Linked DNA regions of Sus scrofa. The protein of the gene in region 1 interacts with the protein of each later gene in a pairwise test. Links are inferred from orthologs where the notes say so. Each region holds a gene or a part of one and is shown on either strand. Other genes may lie near its edges.

Region 1 (4,141 bases):
ATCACTCCTGAGGGATGGGGGAAGAGGGACAAGAGACACTTACATTTATTTTCCCACTATTCTGAACCAACACTATACCCCTCTAACTGTTCATTCTGAAACAAAGGAGGAAAAAAGAAAACAAAAGAAAAATAGGAACTCAATGCTAATGATTTCCCTCACCTAAGAACCAATTCATGAAGAAATTAAATAAGTGATTTTCTAGTTACAGGCTCTGAAAATATAACTATTATTTTTGTTTTTGCTTTTTAGGGCCACACTTGCGGCATATGGAGGTTCCCAGGCTAGGGGTCTAATCAGAGCTACAGCTGCCAGCCTACACCCACAGCCACAGCAACACCAGACCCAAAGCACATCTGTGACCTACACCACAGCTCACAGCAACACTGGATCCTTAAGCCACTGAGCGAGGATCGAACCCACAACCCCATGGTTCCTAGTTCCAGATTCGTTTCCACTGCACCACGATGGGAACTCCTGAAAACATAACTACTGAAAAATGCTTTAAGACCTTTTAATTTAACAGATATGTTATATGCAGGTGGGATTCATGGACTCTGCCTTTTTAAATCAGTATTCGTTACAATTTACTTCTTTTGTCTCCAAAATGCACTACAGTAATTGAAATCTGGTAATCCATTTCCAATGAGAGAAAGCCTGGAGAAAGGACACGGGTATTTCAGAGGATTTCAGGAAGATGACCAAGACTTCTAGCTATAGATTGTTTTTAACAGCCCTGGAAATTCAGTTATTATGTTGTGAGTGGCACTGCCTTCAGGAGCTATGGAAGAGTGATGAAGAGTATCATCAAGAATCCTAGGAGGCAATGAGAAAGTCCCACTCTTCCGTTAACTAGAATTATATCTCACAGAATTATACTTGTCTTTTCTTTTTTTAAGAAACCAAACCACTTTGGAGAATTTCTGTTAATTGGCCAATTTTAGATAAGTTAATATTTTTATAGTTCTATAGATACATATACTCAACCTGATTAAATTAGGGCCCAGGGGCCAATCTGGCACTTAGTATGTTAAAAATAACAACAAAAACAAACTATATATATATTTTATTAACGAATGCCTCAGCTGCCTTATACGAGAGACAACACTAAGCAGAGGGATAACCTCAAACAGTCGGGATGCTTTACTTTTCCCCGCCCCATTTTTAAAATCTTGCGAGAAGAGAATTTCACCCTTTCTAGACTCGGCGCTCTTCGTCCGACGTCACAATCCGGAACTAAAACTACCAATCCCAGAATGCCTTGCGAAGGGGTGGGCTCTCCGGAAGCCGCCGAGTGATTGGCGAGAGGAGGCGTTTCCTTCCGGCGGGAAGAACCCGGGAGGCGGGGACTGGGGGGAGGTGTTCGTAAGCTATTACCGGGTTGGGCTGGCCTGGTCGGGGAGGGGTGTGTGGGTGAACCCTGTGTCCCGTGCCCGCTGAGGAGATGGATGAGGATGGGCTTCCTCTCATGGGGTCAGGCATAGACCTGACTAAGGTTTGTAAAAGATGGAGTTGAACTCAGGTGACCTGGGAGGAGGATGGGGAAGGGACGCCGGGTTCCCAGGGAGACCACATCTCTCTAAGCCCAACGCTGTCCTAGGCCTGTCTCATCTCTCTCCGGAGGGAGAGTCCCATAGTTTGCCCTTTAAAGAGGTCCCTCCTGAGGTAAGGAAGGGCGGGGGCAGTGTAGTGTACCTCTCCCAGGCTTCGCTTCCCAGGTCACGAGTCCCTGTCCTCAAGGGTGAACCACTGGCGACACGGGCCAGTTCCGATTTCTAACCCTACCTCTTTTATTCGGCCCTTAAGGTTTTCGTGTGTTTACGTGTTGCCTATACCTGCGGAAGTTCGCTCTTGTGAATCCAGAGCCCTTTCTCAAACTTTGCAGCATCTGTCATCTTTGAACACCCCACCCCCACAGGTTAGGAAAACAAGTTAATGACTATTGGCAGAACTTCCAGTAACTCATATCACACAGAGAAACGCCCCTTTATTAATATCGAGGGGATTGCACGGTGTACCTTCCTCCTGTACGGATCATGTTTATTTTTACGCAACACAGGTGCCAGCTATTCAACAGAAAAGAACGGTGGCATTTCTAAACCAATTTGTGGTGCACACTGTACAGTTCCTCAACCGCTTTTCTACAGTTTGTGAGGAGGTAGGTCCAGTGGTGTTGGTCTAATGTGTAGCCCAGATATCACCTCGCACTTTTGAAGGTAGCAAATGACTAAAACAAGATTTACAGTCTGTGTATTCATATACCGTGACCTCTTCTCACCCAATTATTATGTTAATATACCTTAAATCCTCTTTGGTTCTATTACCGTCTTCCTGCAGCCCATCTCTGCTGAATTAAACTTCTGAGACTTTTGTGAAGCAGTTCACTAAGGCTTACTGTAATTGAAGATAATAATTGTATTTCACAGTTAAAGACATTTTTTATTTTGAAATTGGTTATGTTTCTCCTACCTCAAAGATTTACGTTTTAGGTGTACATTATTTTACATTGCTTGATCCAAAAGATGATTGAGGAGGTAGCCTAGAAATGTAACTTTGGCATCAAATATCATCATGGAAATAAAAGTAAAAATACGGAGTTCCCTGGTGGTGCAGTGGGTTAAGGACCAGGCCTTGTCACTGCTGTGGCTCATGTTTGATCCCTGGCTCTGGAACTTTTTTATGCCAGAGGTGAGGCCAAAAAAAAAAAATAATAAATAAAATACTTTGTGCATATGACTTATGAAGTAAGGATAAAGTAGCTCAGTTACAGATTAGGTACCAGATCTAGGGACGACTGTCTTATAAAAAGCTAAAAAAGAGAATGGGTTGAAATTAGGTTTAAGAAGGAAGAAAGGGGACAAGGAAATGTTTTGAAACCAAAAGATGGTGTTTTTGCTCAGTTTTCTTTACTTCTTGAGGATTGCGTCAAAACCTAGGGCCCCGTTTTGTTGTCATGAACCACCTGAGTGCTGAAGTTACTGTTCACCCTTTGACTGAGTATCCTCCCCAGTCAAATCCTTGAATTGAAACTGTTCTTGTAGAGGAATTGTTGCTGCCTGAAAGGTGTAAGAGTCAAGATTGTTGTCATTGGGAACAGGATACACATATACACTTTAATGTTAAAGAAAACCCCCCCATTGGTATCATGGTATTTCTCTATGCTTGCAAATTCTACTTTCCAAAAGTTCAGTGACCACTTAAAGCTAAATACGCTTTTAGGGATGATTTAAACAGAAATTAAAATGATTTCATTAAGAAGTCAAGGTCTGGGAGTTCCCGTTGTGGCGCAGTGGTTAACGAATCCTACTGGGAACCATGAGGTTGCGGGTTCGGTCCCTGCCCTTGCTCAGTGGGTTAACGATCCGGCGTTGCCGTGAGCTGTGGTGTAGGTTGCAGACGCGGCTCAGATCCCGCGTTGCTGTGGCTCTGGCGTAGGCCGGTGGCTACAGTTCCGATTCAACCCCTAGCCTGGGAACCTCCATATGCTGCGGGAGCGGCCCAAGAAATCGCAACAACAACAACAACAAAGACAAAAAAAAAAAAAAAAGAAGTCAAGGTCTGGAGTTCCCTTGGGGCACAGCAATTTAAGGATCTGGTACTGTCACTGTCTGGCTTGTGGCGCTGCTGCGGCATGGGTTTAATCCCTGAAAAAAAAACAAACAAACAAAAAAAATCAAGGCCTGCTTCATGAAATACCGTGAGAATACCTAGAGACTTCCCAGTCCTAGCCATTCTCCTACTTTTTGTACAATATGTGATGTATCTCCATTCCAGTTGCATTTTGATTGACACAATAAAAATGTTTCCAAGAAGTTAACTAGTAAATACCAATTTTTGTCAGTTGAATTATTGTTAACTTGTGCTTGTGAAGCTATTGTAAAAATCTTATTAATTTTTGAAAATCAAATAAACCCACCCCCCCAAAAAAAAAGAGAAAAGAGGAAAATGTGATAATCACAGCTGAGTCAGTTAAACAATATTTAGTTCGTTATGTCTTATATATAACATAAGGTAGGGAATCAGCATATAGTTTTTGTTAGATATGTTATTAATAAAAATTGCATGGAGCCAGGAAAACTGTTTTCGTCTGTATAAGATTCCAGCTGTTCTTTTGTCTAGTTATCAAAATCACTTCTGCCTT
Region 2 (4,222 bases), on another chromosome or scaffold:
GCAGGTCTGAAAGTGTCACCAAGACATGTTCATGATTGAATCTTAAGGAGGGAGGTGGGTGAGCCAAGGAGAGCAGAGAGTAAACAAGCTGAGGGATGGGTGTTCCTTGTACAGGTCCCTCCGGTTCTGTGAAACACCGGGGCGAAAACGTCTAAGGAACACTGTTCATCTCTCCTCTACCCCAGGCTGTCCCTGCAGAACTTTTTAACTGAAGGAGCTGCCGTGCTCCCCCACCCGCTTCCTGGTGAGGTGGGAGCCAACACGCGGCGGATCAGTGTCAAGACGAAAGAAAAGGTAATGCCGTGTGGAGCCGTCCGGACCCTCGTCCGGGGGAAAAACTCCCCCGAGGAGAACCACTACGGGGCAGCTGGGAAGGCAGATGTGTGCGGGCTGTGGGACGAGTGACGGGACCGACGCGGGCCCACGGGTGTGGGGGCCCCGGGACCAGATCGAAACCGTGTCCCCTGACTCCTCTGAGCTACTTGAGCAAACGGGGTGGACAGACCAGGCCAACGGGAAGTGCGCGAAGGTCAGGCGAGGCCTGCGGGTGAGTCCCCCGGAGCGCTCCGGGTAGCGCCGCCCAGACCCTTCCAGCGGGGCGACAGTCGTTTTTCCTCACGACCGACCCCGCCCTGAGGAAGAGGCGCCCGCACGCGCTCCCCGCCCGGCCCCTGGCAGCCTGGCTCCCTCCGGAGGCCGGGTCAGAGGCCGCCACCGGGCCCAGCTACCTCCTGCCTCGCCAGCGCGGCCCAGGGCTCCCGCGGACTCCTCGCTCGAAGGCCCCGGCCGCCCCGCCATCTCCTCTCAGGTCGCTGGCTCCCGGCGTCTGGCGCCGCGCCGGGGGCGGGGCGTCCTCTGTGCGCCTGCGCAATGCCCGTTTCCTCGAGCGGGGGCCGCGGGGAGACCGTGGGCTCGCGCCAGTGCGCATGCTTGAGCGTCTGGCCCTGACTCTGCGCAGAGCAGGCGAGGGTCGCGTGCGCTTGGGTTTGCGCTTGGTCGATGGAGGAGCCAGGGGCCTGCGGGCGTGTGGCGGTCTCCTGAGGGTGCGTCCCAGGGGACGCCGCCCGCGCTTCGGGGACAGTGCCAGTGCTTGGCGTGGGGGTCTCAGTTCATTCCTGTCTCTGCACCCGGAAGAGGAATTTCCGGTTTTCCCTCAGACGCGTCCTGGGTGCTTTACAGCAGGGCGGTGAGTTGGCCTCGTCGTGCGCAAATCCTGTTCCAAAACCTCCAGCGTCACGTTTTCCTCACCTGTTGCTCAGGATTCCAGGTGGCAGGAACAACCAGGTGTGAGGAGCAGTTTTGAGTGCTACCTGTGCAAAGCCCTGCCCTAGAGCTGACTTAAGCGTCCTCGATAGGGATAAGGTTACGAAAAGTCACAGAGTAAGCATTAGGATTAAGGCTCAAGGTGTGGGGAGAAATCTTCCGGATGTGTTTTCTAAACCCCAAGGAAACCATAAGGGGCTAGAGGGACCTGGCTCAGCAAGTTAGGCATTAACTGAGAGGACAAGGTGTTGACTTTGGAAAACCGGGTCAGCTCAAGTCAGAAAACTGCTTGAGAAAACACTGATTGTTCCTCAAGATGTTATGCCTAGATAGCTAACACCAGCCTCATTGATGCCCTTTAGAGTAAAGGTCGGAGTTCAAATTCAAGGTGACTGGAGGCCGAGGGCCTTGGGGTGTCTATTTTCTCACATTGTTTACCTTCCTGAGAGCATAATAAAGACGATGAGGCGTCGGCATTCAGGGCTCTTGACGCATGAGGTCTTGCGTCCCCTGGTCCCATCTTTAACTGTACCCTGTCTCTGTGTCTTTCTTTGTTTCCGATGAACATTTCTTAAGCTTTGCAGCACCCGTCCTTCACCTCCACTCACTGAGCTGGTCTCAGCATCAAAGTAAGAGTCTGAGTAGGAGACGAGGGTCAGGGAAAGGGTCAAGAGTCAATGTCAGACGAGAGTCACCTTTCATTTTTAGGGTCAGTATCAAGGTCAGGGAAAGGAGTAGGAATTAGTAGCTGAGCCCATGACCATTGCCACCCTTGACGGTTGTTCAAGTCATGGACTACCAATCCAAACTGGCAAAGTGGGCCATAATCTCCATGTTACTGGGGCTACTTCTTTGATGGTGAACTGACCTGTGCAAGATAAGGGTAGAGCAAAGGTTCAAGTGACCCTTAAAACCCTAACCCATCCTGTTGTACAGACTGCCTGGCCTTAGAGGTTAGAGTCAGGGATAAAGGGGCTGGGGTCAGAGTGTAAGTGAGCAACCATTAGTGAGCGACATTTAGTGGTCCTCTTCAGCCATTGGTCAGCATTGTAGTGAGCCTGTCCCCCCAGCAAGTGACAGTGGCTGACCATTGGCCCCTGCCCCTCCCCTTTCTCAGTATTAAAAGAGCCTGAATTAAGACTGAGGCAAGTCTCAAGACACTAGCCTGCCGTCTTCTCCATCTGCTAGCTTTCTAATTAAAGTAGCTATGCATCGCCCCAACAACTCTTCTTAGAATTCATTGGCCTGAGCAGTACAGTGAGCAGAGCAAACTTGGGTTCGGCAACAGGTTTTGGTGAGCCAGCCAGGAGCCTTGCTGTTTGTGACCAGCTGGCCCCAGTTGGGGAGTTTTCTGGTGAGTTCCTAGCAGCTGCCAGGACCACTTGTCCTGAGCATCTTCCTTTCAAAATTCCCTAAAGTGGCCCTGGCTGCCCCAGCTCTTGGCGGTTGGAGCAAGGAATCGACATTTGGGAGCCACTGGGCTCCATACAGTAGGGTAAGTCACTCCAGTGAAAGAAAAAAATGTAAGAAAGGTAGAACAAAGGAAGAAAGACCTATGAGCTAATGAATAATAGTTGGAAAGGTAAGAAAATAAGTCAATAATTACATATGTAAACAAATATATTCAAAAACACACACCTGCGTGAATATATGAAAAATTGAAGAAGGCTGTCAGCACATGATGGGTCGGGAGCTGAGTGTTTAAAAGCTGTGGCATCGGGTAGGGTGGCCTCAGGGCTCTGAAAGCCTTTGAGAGAGAAATAGCCCACTTGGTAGGGCCCTTCTTGATATTTCAAGAAAGCAGAGGAAGGCAATCCAACCAGTGTGTTGCCCAAGGCCAAAGCTGCCCCCGGGGGCTGCTCAGCCAGAGGGAGGACGAACACCTGAGAGTTGCTGTTAGTGCAGATGACCACAAGACGGTGCCAGGGTACTTTCCAGACCCAAGGGCAAGCTCCAAGGCTGCATGTCGGGGCTCAGCGTTGGGGTTGATGATGTGTTTGTGGGAAACCCCAGCCAGCACCCAGAGATCTGGGGTTGTTTTCCAGGTATCTGGGACTCTCTGCTCTAAGTTGCCTCACGTCAGGCAGAGCACACAGCTGTCCTTTTAGCATTTAATGTGTGTGCATTTGCTGCCTGGCCAGGTGGCAGTGTGTTTATAATGCTTGAGTGATCCACTGGGTTTCAGAGCGCCTTGTGTTCCTCCAGGCCAGGAGCCAGAACCCACACAGCCTCTGTTTTGAATCATGAACTGTCCATTTTCAAGCCCCTGACTGCCAAGGGTTTAGCTCTCTGGATAGAGGCTGGTGCTGATGAATGGATGGTGGACTTCGGTGGCATTGTGGTGGGTGGTTGTGCTAATCCCTGTGCTTTTTCTGCTCATGAGACCTAGTGAAATGTCTTTCTTGCCTTGCCACACGAGTCTCCCTTTACAGTGACCGCTCCAGGGAAGGAGGCCTGACCGAACCCAGGTCTGATGAATTAAGCAGGGTTGATTGATACCAAGAAAGCTCTCAGAGAGTTCCCTCGTGGCTGGCTTCCTTAAGAGTCTGTGGCTATGGTGAGAGTTGCATAGGGAGATCAAACCCTGACTGGGCAACTCCCTGATGTTGCAGGTGGCACCCAAGTAAATGAATCAAGAAAAGTAAATATTTTGAAGAAGGCGATAAATTGATGAAGTCAGTGCATACATATAGATATCCCTACATAGTAGCTAAGTGAATTGACAGAGAAAGGCATGAAAAAGGCTCTTCCGATATGATGCTTGTGGTGGCAGAGGGTTGTGTGTACGAGCCTGGGGTAGTAACAGCCCTGGGGTGGATTCAGTTCCTGGCCAGACAATATCTGCATGCCACAAGTGGGTCCAGAAAAATAAATCAGAGAATAAATCAATGAAGATGTAAGAAATTAATAAATTCATACGCCAGAGATAATCACTCCAGGTAATTATTATGTGAAGGAA
Region 3 (4,302 bases), on another chromosome or scaffold:
ACTAAAATCAGTCCAGAGCCTGGATGTTTTTTGCTTCTCTCTTCCCCTGCTATTCTTTGTATCTGCTCGGGCGAGGTCATCTAGTTGTTCCCATTCGTCTCAGCCAGGGTCCTGCGCTGGGCTTAGTTCTTATTTCATTTTTAAAGCACTGCCTGCCAGAGAAGGGCCTTGGTCCTGAGGAGGAGTCCCTCACAGCTGCTCCCTCCCTTACAGCCAGAGCTCACATTCCTCGGTGGGGTGGGGAAGGCAGGCTTGGGGCGTGGCCCCGACGGGAGCCGGGGGTCCCTTGCTGGCCCTTCCCCGTGTGAAGAGAAGACACGGATGCTGCAGAACTTGGCCAGTGCAGCATTCAGCCTTTGAGGCTGTGAAAAAGAAGGCAGCGGCCTCTGGGCTTCTCTTCTCCAGGGTTCTTCCCACCGGACAGCAGAGATGGCACCCCCCTCCCTCAACTTTGTGTTGTGTTTGTGGTTCTGTTCGCTCCTCTTCCATCTGTTGCTATTTTTGTGGTCTCTCCCATGGCAGCATTTTGTAAGGTGGCTCCTGAGGGGCGGCGGTGGTGGTGGGGTGTCAGCTCAATCCCTCTCTCCCCCTCACTCCACAACTTTTTGGAAGCAAGTGGGGGTGGCAGAGATGTGGGGAAAGTTTTGTACGGTTGGATTAATAAAATGACTTTGGAAAATCCAGACTGGAGCCCTTGCTGTTGATGTGTGGGTACAAGGCTGGAATGGGCCAGTCATCCCTGGGCAGGTTGGTTGGGGGTGAAGATAGGTATCCGTGTGTGTGTGGGGGGGTGTCTCTGGAAGTGGGAACAGCAGAAAGATTCAGCCCTCTGGGCTGGCCCTGGTACAAACAGCTAAGCCCAGGGAGGCCTGTGCTCCCTGCCTCTCCCCCCGTGTCCCTGCTGTGAGGAACAAGTTTCCTTTCTGAGCACATTCCTGGGCCAGGCCTGGAGCCAAGCCGGAGCTTTGGCTCCAAGTCTTCAGGGGAGACAACTGTCTTTAGTGCTTGGGGGTTTAGCGCCCACAACCCCACTCCCCAGTTATTTGGGTTAGGCAGCGAGCATAGCTCCAAGGGTGGGATCAGGGGCTGCCCCTGGGTCCGGAAGTTTTCATTTTTGGATACTTTTCAGGCCCCCCTCATCTTTTTTTTGTAAATAGCGGCATCCTTAAACAATCCGCACTGGGGCAGCATGAGAGTGGCCGAAGGGCTATTTCCAACCCGCAATTGGCCACTCCCCTCCCCCATCCTGCAGCTGTCTCTGTCTATCCTGGGACCAACCTGGCCCCTTGTCTTAGAGAAGCCACCCTTTGCCTTTCAGTTTTGGGTCTTGGCTCCAGAAATTCTTTAGACGCTGCTCCCAGGAGGGGAGGTGACAATATTCAGTTTGCTGGCACTCCAGCCGTCCCGCAGGGAGGGGAACCAGGTTGCGGGGCTCTGCAGTTCCCCCCCTCCTTTCCCCTCCCGTGGCTCTCCAGTCTAGCTGTTATTGGCCAAAAGTTTCCGCCCCCTCAGGGAAGTTGACTTTCTATTGGCCGGTTCTAGGTCACATGACCTGCCTTTCTTGGCGCTGTAAAGCTGGAGAGGCAGCAACAAGTTCAGGGGAAGACTGAAGCCAGGAGCAGGATCAGGTAAAGCCCCGGTGAGAAGGGCCCACAGGGATCCCTGTGCGAGGAAGGATAGAGGTGAGGGGGGCCAGAACTCCAGCGGTTGGGCTCCTCCGAGGATCTTCAGAGCTAGTTTGTCGCTTCTTGGCCGGCGGAAGGGGGATCATGGGCGGCCGTTTCCAAAACAGGAACTTGCTTTAGGTCTCCCAGGCAAGTTTTTGCAGCCCTGTGTCATTTGCTCTAGAGATTTGGGGGAGCAACTCTTATGGGGGGTTGAAATCAGCTAGACGAGACTTTCCAGCTTTTTACGGAGGGTGGGAGAGCTCCCCCTTTAGTTGTCTTTTGGAAGTAGCCCAAGTTCCTGACAATCCTTATAGGGTGTTTTTGTTGAATCCTACTTGAATGAAAAGAAAGAGGAGGGGGTGGAGGTGGGTTTTCTTCCTAGAGGTTGATGAGAAGAAAGAGATCTGAAAACACCGTGGGCCAGGGTGGAGATTAGACAGCTGGAGGAACTTCCTAATAGGGCAGTGAGATGCTGGCTTGGGAGAACAGGGAGATCTTTTGGAATCTTGGGTGAACCCAACCAAGGGAGAGAGACCAACAAGTATTTGGAACTCTGAGTGCAGGGGTTCCGGACTGTCTCCTGTTTAGGTCTCAGAAGTGTTTGTCTTGTTGACCCAAATACCTTGCTGGTTTCCATGGAGACAGTGGGTCTGACATCACTGTGGTTACCATGGTGCCTGGTTCTGGAGGACCGGAGCAGGCCGTATACAGCTAAGGATAAACAGGGACTTCAGCCCAAGCTGCTGCCACTTCCCTGCCACCACCTGTTAAAAGTCACACACAGCAACTGAGGATGGGGAGATGATGACAGAACTGTGGGGGAGGGGCTTGAGACCAGAAGGCTGCACAGTGATGGTTCTCTGGATGCCTGTGAAGCCTGCCAGGGGTGTCCTGTGGGATGTGGGGAAGTCATTGCGCCCTTCTCCTGTCTCCTTGTGGGGTGGGTGCATGCGTTTGGAAGGCATAGGTCTTGGGAGACACTGTGAGGTGTCCTTCATCTGTCCTGGGCTTGGATCTTGACGCACAAGGGCCACAGGAGGTTTGTAGGGCACTGAGTAGGACTCACTTGAGCTCAAACAGAAGAGGGCAGTGTGGCGGTTTCCTAGGGTAGAAGTGCCATGCTTGTTCCCCAGCCTCGCTCCTTTTCCCAAGGTTTCCTTTTAGAGTCCTTTACCACTTGCCACCCCTCTCACCCCTCAGCAAGCCGTCATTTAGCCCCTTCTAAAGGATCAGAATCTAAGACTCTAGGGGGTCAGCTCATCTCTCCCTCCACCATTGCCAGCCTGGATGGGGGACAGTCTTGGCCATGGATGAAGGAGTAGGTTACGATCTTCCTATCCTGCCTTGTGTCAGGCTTTGGAAGCTGGAGTAACTTCCCACTGCCACCTGGCCAAGTCAGAGCAGGTTCGCAGGGGGTAGGATCACAGCCCTGATTTTTGTCCAGGCTTTGCAGCCTGTAAAGTGCATTATACATGGTAGTTGCCATAAATCCCTCTTCCCAGTCACCTTCACGTTCTCTACGATGAAACTCTGGAGGTTACTAAGAAGGGAAATGGAGAGTGAGCGTGCCAAGGAGATCTACTAGTACGGGTTAATTCAGATGGAGTTAAGCTGTGCCAGTTTTTCTCAACCTTGGCTACACGTGAGAATCGTTTGGAAGGTTTTAAAAAAGCCCCGTGCCCAAGCCTAAGCCTGAGTCTTGAACCTGACTGTATCAGAATCTTGAGTGATTCCATGTGCAGCCAGTCTGAACTAGACCATATGGAGGACTTGCAGTGAGGGGGAGACTTGGGGCTGAAGGAGGCCATTGAGTCTTCTCTTCCAAGCCCTGGGGGAAGGGGTGGTGATTGTGGGGGAGCCTGAGGTGGTGAAGGGAGGGCTGGATTGTGCCTCACTCTTCTTATTAGCTGTTCATCTTTGGCAAGTCAAGTCAGCCAACTTTCTGGCCTTCGTTTTCCCTGACTATAACTTGAGGGAGTTGACCTGGATTTTTCCCAAAGCCTTTCTTTCCAGCCCTATGCTACTCTGTCCTTTCAAGGTCAGTCCCATCTCCCAGTTTCCCAAGGGCCCTTTTGGTCCCTGGGAGGGGCAAGCTTCACTGTGGCTGTTGGCAGGTTGTGATTTGCAAGGCAAATGCTGCCCAGAAGAAGAGTTGAGGTGTTGGGATCAGAAGGCCTGGAACCAGGCTGGTTCTGGAAGTTGGTACCCAGCCCTTCGTTACAGTTAGAACCCAGCTGAGGCTGCTGTCTGCATCCTGAAGGGAGCTGGGGTCTTTAAAGGAGCCTTTCTCTGCAGGTGGCGGCCTGAACAGCCTCGGGAACCTCTGCAACTATGGCCTCCAGCCCAGACTCGGACAATAGCTGGGTGCTTGCTGGCTCAGAGGTAAGAAAAGCAGGCCTGGGAACCTTAAAAACAGGGTTCCTGCAGGGCTGGACTGCTTTCTGGGGTCTGTCCTTTTCCTTGTCACATGCATCGCCTCCTGCTGGCTGTGAGAGGAATTCCAATGGCTGGGAGAAGTGGGGACCTGGACCATGCCTAGAAAGAAGGCATTTGCTGGCATAAGCTGGGAGAAGTAGGGGCAAAATTCTGGTGGGGAGACCAGCACAAGCAGAGGTTCTGAGGCAACAGTGGGAGA
Region 4 (4,248 bases), on another chromosome or scaffold:
CTGGGAATCTCCATATGCCGTGGGAGCGGCCCAAGAAATAGCAGCAACAACAACAACAAAAAGACAAAAGACAAAAAAAAAAAAAAAAAAAAAACCAAACAGAAAACAAAAAACAAATGCCAGCTACAGTTAGCCTGTAGTTTTCCATGCTATCGTCTCACCTGGGGCCAGGTGGCAGTCAAGCCTTTGAATAAAGCAGGCATTCTCTTGGTCCTCATGGGTGCCTCTGGCTAGCTTGGCTTTATTTGAGTTTTCAACCTCATCTAATCCAATTCTCTTATTGTGTAGAGAAGTGAAAACCAAGGACCAGAGAGGAGAAAGGTCTCGCCCAAGGTCACACAGCAAGTTAGAAGTGGTGCTGGCTGAAGAGGACTGACCACTCAGGCCTCCTTCTTTCCATCTTCTCAAAGAGAGCAGGTTAGACTTCGGTTCCCGCTTGCTCCCAGGCTAGAAGCCCTTGTGCAGTGAACCTGCACGTCTCTATGCTATGGTCCTGCAGCCCCTGCTCTCATTAAACTATGTAGGTTGAAAATGTTCTCAAATCAGGTTGTGATGATGGTTGTACAGGTATAAATGTAATAAACCCGCTGAATGAAAAAAACATTAGAAAAAACAAAAACAAAAAGTAAGTAGCTGCTCTGGAAGTAGTGTTTCCTCCAAATCCTGGCACAGCAGGCTAACCCAGGAATGTCAGATTCAAACTCCCTCCCCTCACCAGCCTCATAAGCAGCTGCCCTCTGCTCACCTAGACCTTTGGCTTTCTTCTTTTCCTGGGGCCTTCGGTGGTCTCGGTCTACGACCTCGTCACTTGCCCGGATCTCGTCTGCGCCCGGCTCCCCCTTGGAGGGCTCCTTCTCACCATTGACTACTGGGGTCTCTGGCTCAGGCTCCCCATTCCTTGAGGCATAGGTCCGGGACTTCTCTGCATCTTCAGGTTCACCAGGCTCACCCTGTGCCCCATCTTCGCCTGGGCCCCCCTGATTGTTGTCTATACAGTATGTACTGAGGATGTCTTCCAATTGGCGGCTCAACTCCTCTGAGACATCACGGAGGGCCCCAGTTTTGGCTTGTGCTCCTGCAGCAGGAGGGATGAGGGGCAGAGTCAGAAATAAGACCATTATGCCACTGGCTGGGATTTTTTCAGGCCCAAACTTACTAGTTTGGGTTAAATGTTACCTAACTTCTTTAAACCTCAGTTTTATTACTGATAAAACTATTTCTCACCTCTGCCCAACCATGCTTGTTATAAGAGAAATCAAGTAAGGAGACCACCCAACACAGAGGTGGCATCATGTAGCAGGAACTCAAGGTCTAGTCCACCTGCAAATGTCACTTCTTGCTATTAAAAAAGTTCCAAGAGTTCCCGTTGTGGTGCAGCAGAAACGAATCTGACTAGTATTCATGAAGACTCAGGTTCGACCCTTGGCCTCACTTAGTAGGTGAGGGATCCTGTGTTGCTGTGACTGTGGTGCAGGCTGGCAGCTGTAGCTCCAATTCGACTTGAGCCTGGGCACCTCCATATGCCTAGGGTGGGGCCCTAAGAAACAGAAAAAAAAGAAAAAAAAAAAAAAGTTCCAGAAATGCCTCAAATAGGAATAGCAGTTACCCACTGCTGAAAGTGGTGTTTTTGATTTGCTGGTTGGGTGCCTCATTTGACTGCCAACCTGACTTAATCCTGTCAGAAGCTTCTCTCAGGAGAGTTCTGTCCCTGTGCTTAGGGTGGGAGGCTCTATCAACTCCCCAGCGCAGAGTGGGCACTCAAGGACTCAGTGGTGTCCTCCCCTCATTCTACATTTCCTCCCTTCTGGATAAACAGTGGCCTTGGCTTCTAACCCCAGAAGCTAGACTGACGCACCATAAACTCCTCCCCCTGCCCATTGGAAAAGCAGAGCTGGCACACACCCTCAGCCTTCCCTGGAGCCTGGCTGGTGGAACCTTCAGCTTCTGTCGTGGGAGCAGACTGGCTGGGCCGCCCCTGGCCTCCCTCTGGTCCTGCTTCCGGTTGCCCCGGGGTGTTTTTGGGGTTGGAAGTGTGGCCAGATTGCTTGGCAGCCCCATTCTTTTTGTCTTGGTTCTTCATTGTTGTTTGCAACGTTAGGTTATGAGCAGAACCTATAGAAACAAATACACTTGCTATTTTCCAGACTTTAAACAATTCTTCGCAGCCTGGATCTGATATCTCCACACCGGACCCGCAAAGCTTCTTAAACCGACCGGCCTTCCTCGGATGGGAGCCAGTGGGGCTCCCTATCTCTGGTCGGTCAGGGAAGTCTGGTGTGCCCAACAGCAGGGGAGAGGAGGCCTCCTTTTTCCCCGAAGCTACTTCCCCGGCACAACCCAGCCCTCTCACCACAGCCCGTGCGCCGGACAGGCTCAGGCCCAGGGACTGACGTGGCGGGACGCTGGATTCCCGGTTCCTCCCCGCCCCCCAGGCCCCACGTGTGCCCACCCCCCCGCGCGCGCGCGCAGCCACCCACGCCCCGCGCGCCCTCCAGCCGCGCGCTCCGCCCGCGCATGCGCACAGGCCTCGGCCCCTGCACTCCAGCCCGAGTCCTCGTGCGGAATCGGCGTAATTCCCTGAACCGTCCGAAGGCGTCGGGCCCCGGGCCCTCTGCTTGCCTTGTACCCCTAACCGACGCAATACGCACCCCACCGCCGACGTCCCGACGGCTTCTCCTGCTCTGGCCTCTCACCGGAAACCCTGGGTAACTGCTGCCGGCAGAGCCGCCTGCTCGCGCCGCGGCCAATCAATAGCCCGCGCTCTCGCGGGGCTTGCTGGGAAAGTTGAAGCGAAGGCGGCCTCTGAGGCGGGTGAGTTGGGAAGGCGGAGTGGGGGGGTGGAGGGACAGAAAGGACTACATGTCCCTCCATGCACCGGGCTGATCCCGACTCCCAAGCTGCAACAGGGCTTTCGTTCTTGGAGCCCAGACCCAGGAGGTCCGAAAGCAGCCAGTCATTCTGCACTGGTACTCACGTCAACCTCCTTTCCATCACGCAGAAGTTATGATTCAGCTCCCAGAGCCTTGCGCCTGGCTGCTTTTTCCCCGCACACCTCAACCCCGTCCTTCCCTCCTGCTGAGGATATCTGTGACTATCTAGGAACTCTGAGGACGAGGGATAAAATACGGTGCTGGACATCAGATCTGTATTCCTTCCAGTCCTAATTTCATCACTAATTTGTTATGTGACCGGGCATTCTTTTCATTCCCAGAGCCTCGATTTCCGTATTCCTATAGAAAATTTTAATAACAGTAGTTCTTTGAATGCTAGCTTTCCCAGTAACTACTCCAGATAAATACTGTAGTATTTGTTACTCTCAATTTACACCTGTTAGGTGATTGTCCAAGGTCACATAGCTATTGACTGATTAGAGCAGTTTCAAAGCCAGGAAGTCTGGCACCCATCTCAACTACTGGACTACCCTGCTTCTTACTCAGGAAGAAATAATCACCATGATGCGCTTTCCTTGAGGGTGAGTCAAGGTAACTTGGAAAAGTAAATACTTAATTTCCCATCCCCATTTCCACCTTGAGTCCCTCTTTGGAAGGTGCTGAGGCCCTGTAAGGGGAAGTTTGGTTTCAGCAGATTCCTGAGCCTTTTCTTTGGCCCACTCCTACCAAGTCCCAGTTGCACTGGTGCTAAAGGGGAAAAATAGCCAAGCTTTTCTCAAAATGTGAAATCACAATTCTTTTTCCATTTGTCTGTAGACAACAGAATAAAACACAGCAACCTATGTGCTTGGATTTTTTTTTTTTTTTTTTTTTTTTTTAAGGGCTGCACCTGCGGCATATGGAAGTTCCCAGGCTAGGGGTCTAATCAGAGCAGTGGCTGCCAGCCTGCACCACAGCCATAGCAACGCCAGACCCGAGCCACATCTGTGACCTACGCTGCAACTCATGGCAATGCCAGATTCTTAACCCACTGAGTGAGGCCAGGGATCGAACCTGTGTCCTCATGGATGCTAGTTGGATTCTTTACCTCTGAGCCACAACAGGAACTCCTGTGCTTGAAATTTAATGCCTAAATGGTTTTGCTTTTATTTCCTGTCAATCCTCCTCATCCCCTTGGCCTTTTAAAAAAAATTATTAAAGCGTAGTTGATTTACAATGTTTCGTCCCCCTCTGCCTTTTTTGTTCCAGCTATACTTTTACTGTTTCCAGGATTTCCCAGGTTTTTGCAGGTGCCATACCATTGTCGATGAAAAAAATGTTACCTGCCATATCAGTAAACAAAGGATGTTGCAGCCAT

What was found.
Region 2: the proteins of WASHC3 (region 1) and SYCE1 interact in binary tests that used the Homo sapiens proteins (3 or more experiments, as listed by UniProt). The two-hybrid records come from large-scale screens. The link is inferred for Sus scrofa from reciprocal best matches to the Homo sapiens genes WASHC3 and SYCE1.
Region 3: the proteins of WASHC3 (region 1) and PBXIP1 interact in binary tests that used the Homo sapiens proteins (3 or more experiments, as listed by UniProt). The two-hybrid records come from large-scale screens. The link is inferred for Sus scrofa from reciprocal best matches to the Homo sapiens genes WASHC3 and PBXIP1.
Region 4: the proteins of WASHC3 (region 1) and TXLNA interact in binary tests that used the Homo sapiens proteins (3 or more experiments, as listed by UniProt). The two-hybrid records come from large-scale screens. The link is inferred for Sus scrofa from reciprocal best matches to the Homo sapiens genes WASHC3 and TXLNA.

The regions. Positions count from the first base shown.
Region 1 is NC_010447.5:82,153,935-82,158,075, forward strand, and holds the start of WASHC3 (WASH complex subunit 3), read left to right. Parts: upstream 1-1,338; 5' UTR 1,339-1,444; coding exon 1,445-1,495; intron 1,496-1,806; exon of another isoform or gene 1,807-1,918; intron 1,919-2,059; coding exon 2,060-2,158; intron 2,159-4,141. UniProt on the Homo sapiens protein: Acts as a component of the WASH core complex that functions as a nucleation-promoting factor (NPF) at the surface of endosomes, where it recruits and activates the Arp2/3 complex to induce actin polymerization, playing a key role in the fission of tubules that serve as transport intermediates during endosome sorting.
Region 2 is NC_010456.5:141,735,028-141,739,249, forward strand, and holds the start of SYCE1 (synaptonemal complex central element protein 1), read right to left. Parts: upstream 2,804-4,222; 5' UTR 799-2,803; coding exon 729-798; intron 295-728; exon of another isoform or gene 115-294; intron 1-114. UniProt on the Homo sapiens protein: Major component of the transverse central element of synaptonemal complexes (SCS), formed between homologous chromosomes during meiotic prophase. Requires SYCP1 in order to be incorporated into the central element.
Region 3 is NC_010446.5:94,835,866-94,840,167, forward strand, and holds the start of PBXIP1 (pre-B-cell leukemia transcription factor-interacting protein 1), read left to right. Parts: upstream 1-1,499; 5' UTR 1,500-1,628; exon of another isoform or gene 1,629-1,814; intron 1,815-3,962; 5' UTR 3,963-3,998; coding exon 3,999-4,049; intron 4,050-4,302. UniProt on the Homo sapiens protein: Regulator of pre-B-cell leukemia transcription factors (BPXs) function. Inhibits the binding of PBX1-HOX complex to DNA and blocks the transcriptional activity of E2A-PBX1.
Region 4 is NC_010448.4:88,658,606-88,662,853, reverse strand, and holds the start of TXLNA (alpha-taxilin), read right to left. Parts: upstream 2,804-4,248; 5' UTR 2,649-2,803; intron 2,418-2,648; exon of another isoform or gene 2,351-2,417; intron 2,113-2,350; 5' UTR 2,081-2,112; coding exon 1,903-2,080; intron 1,076-1,902; coding exon 746-1,075; intron 1-745. UniProt on the Homo sapiens protein: May be involved in intracellular vesicle traffic and potentially in calcium-dependent exocytosis in neuroendocrine cells.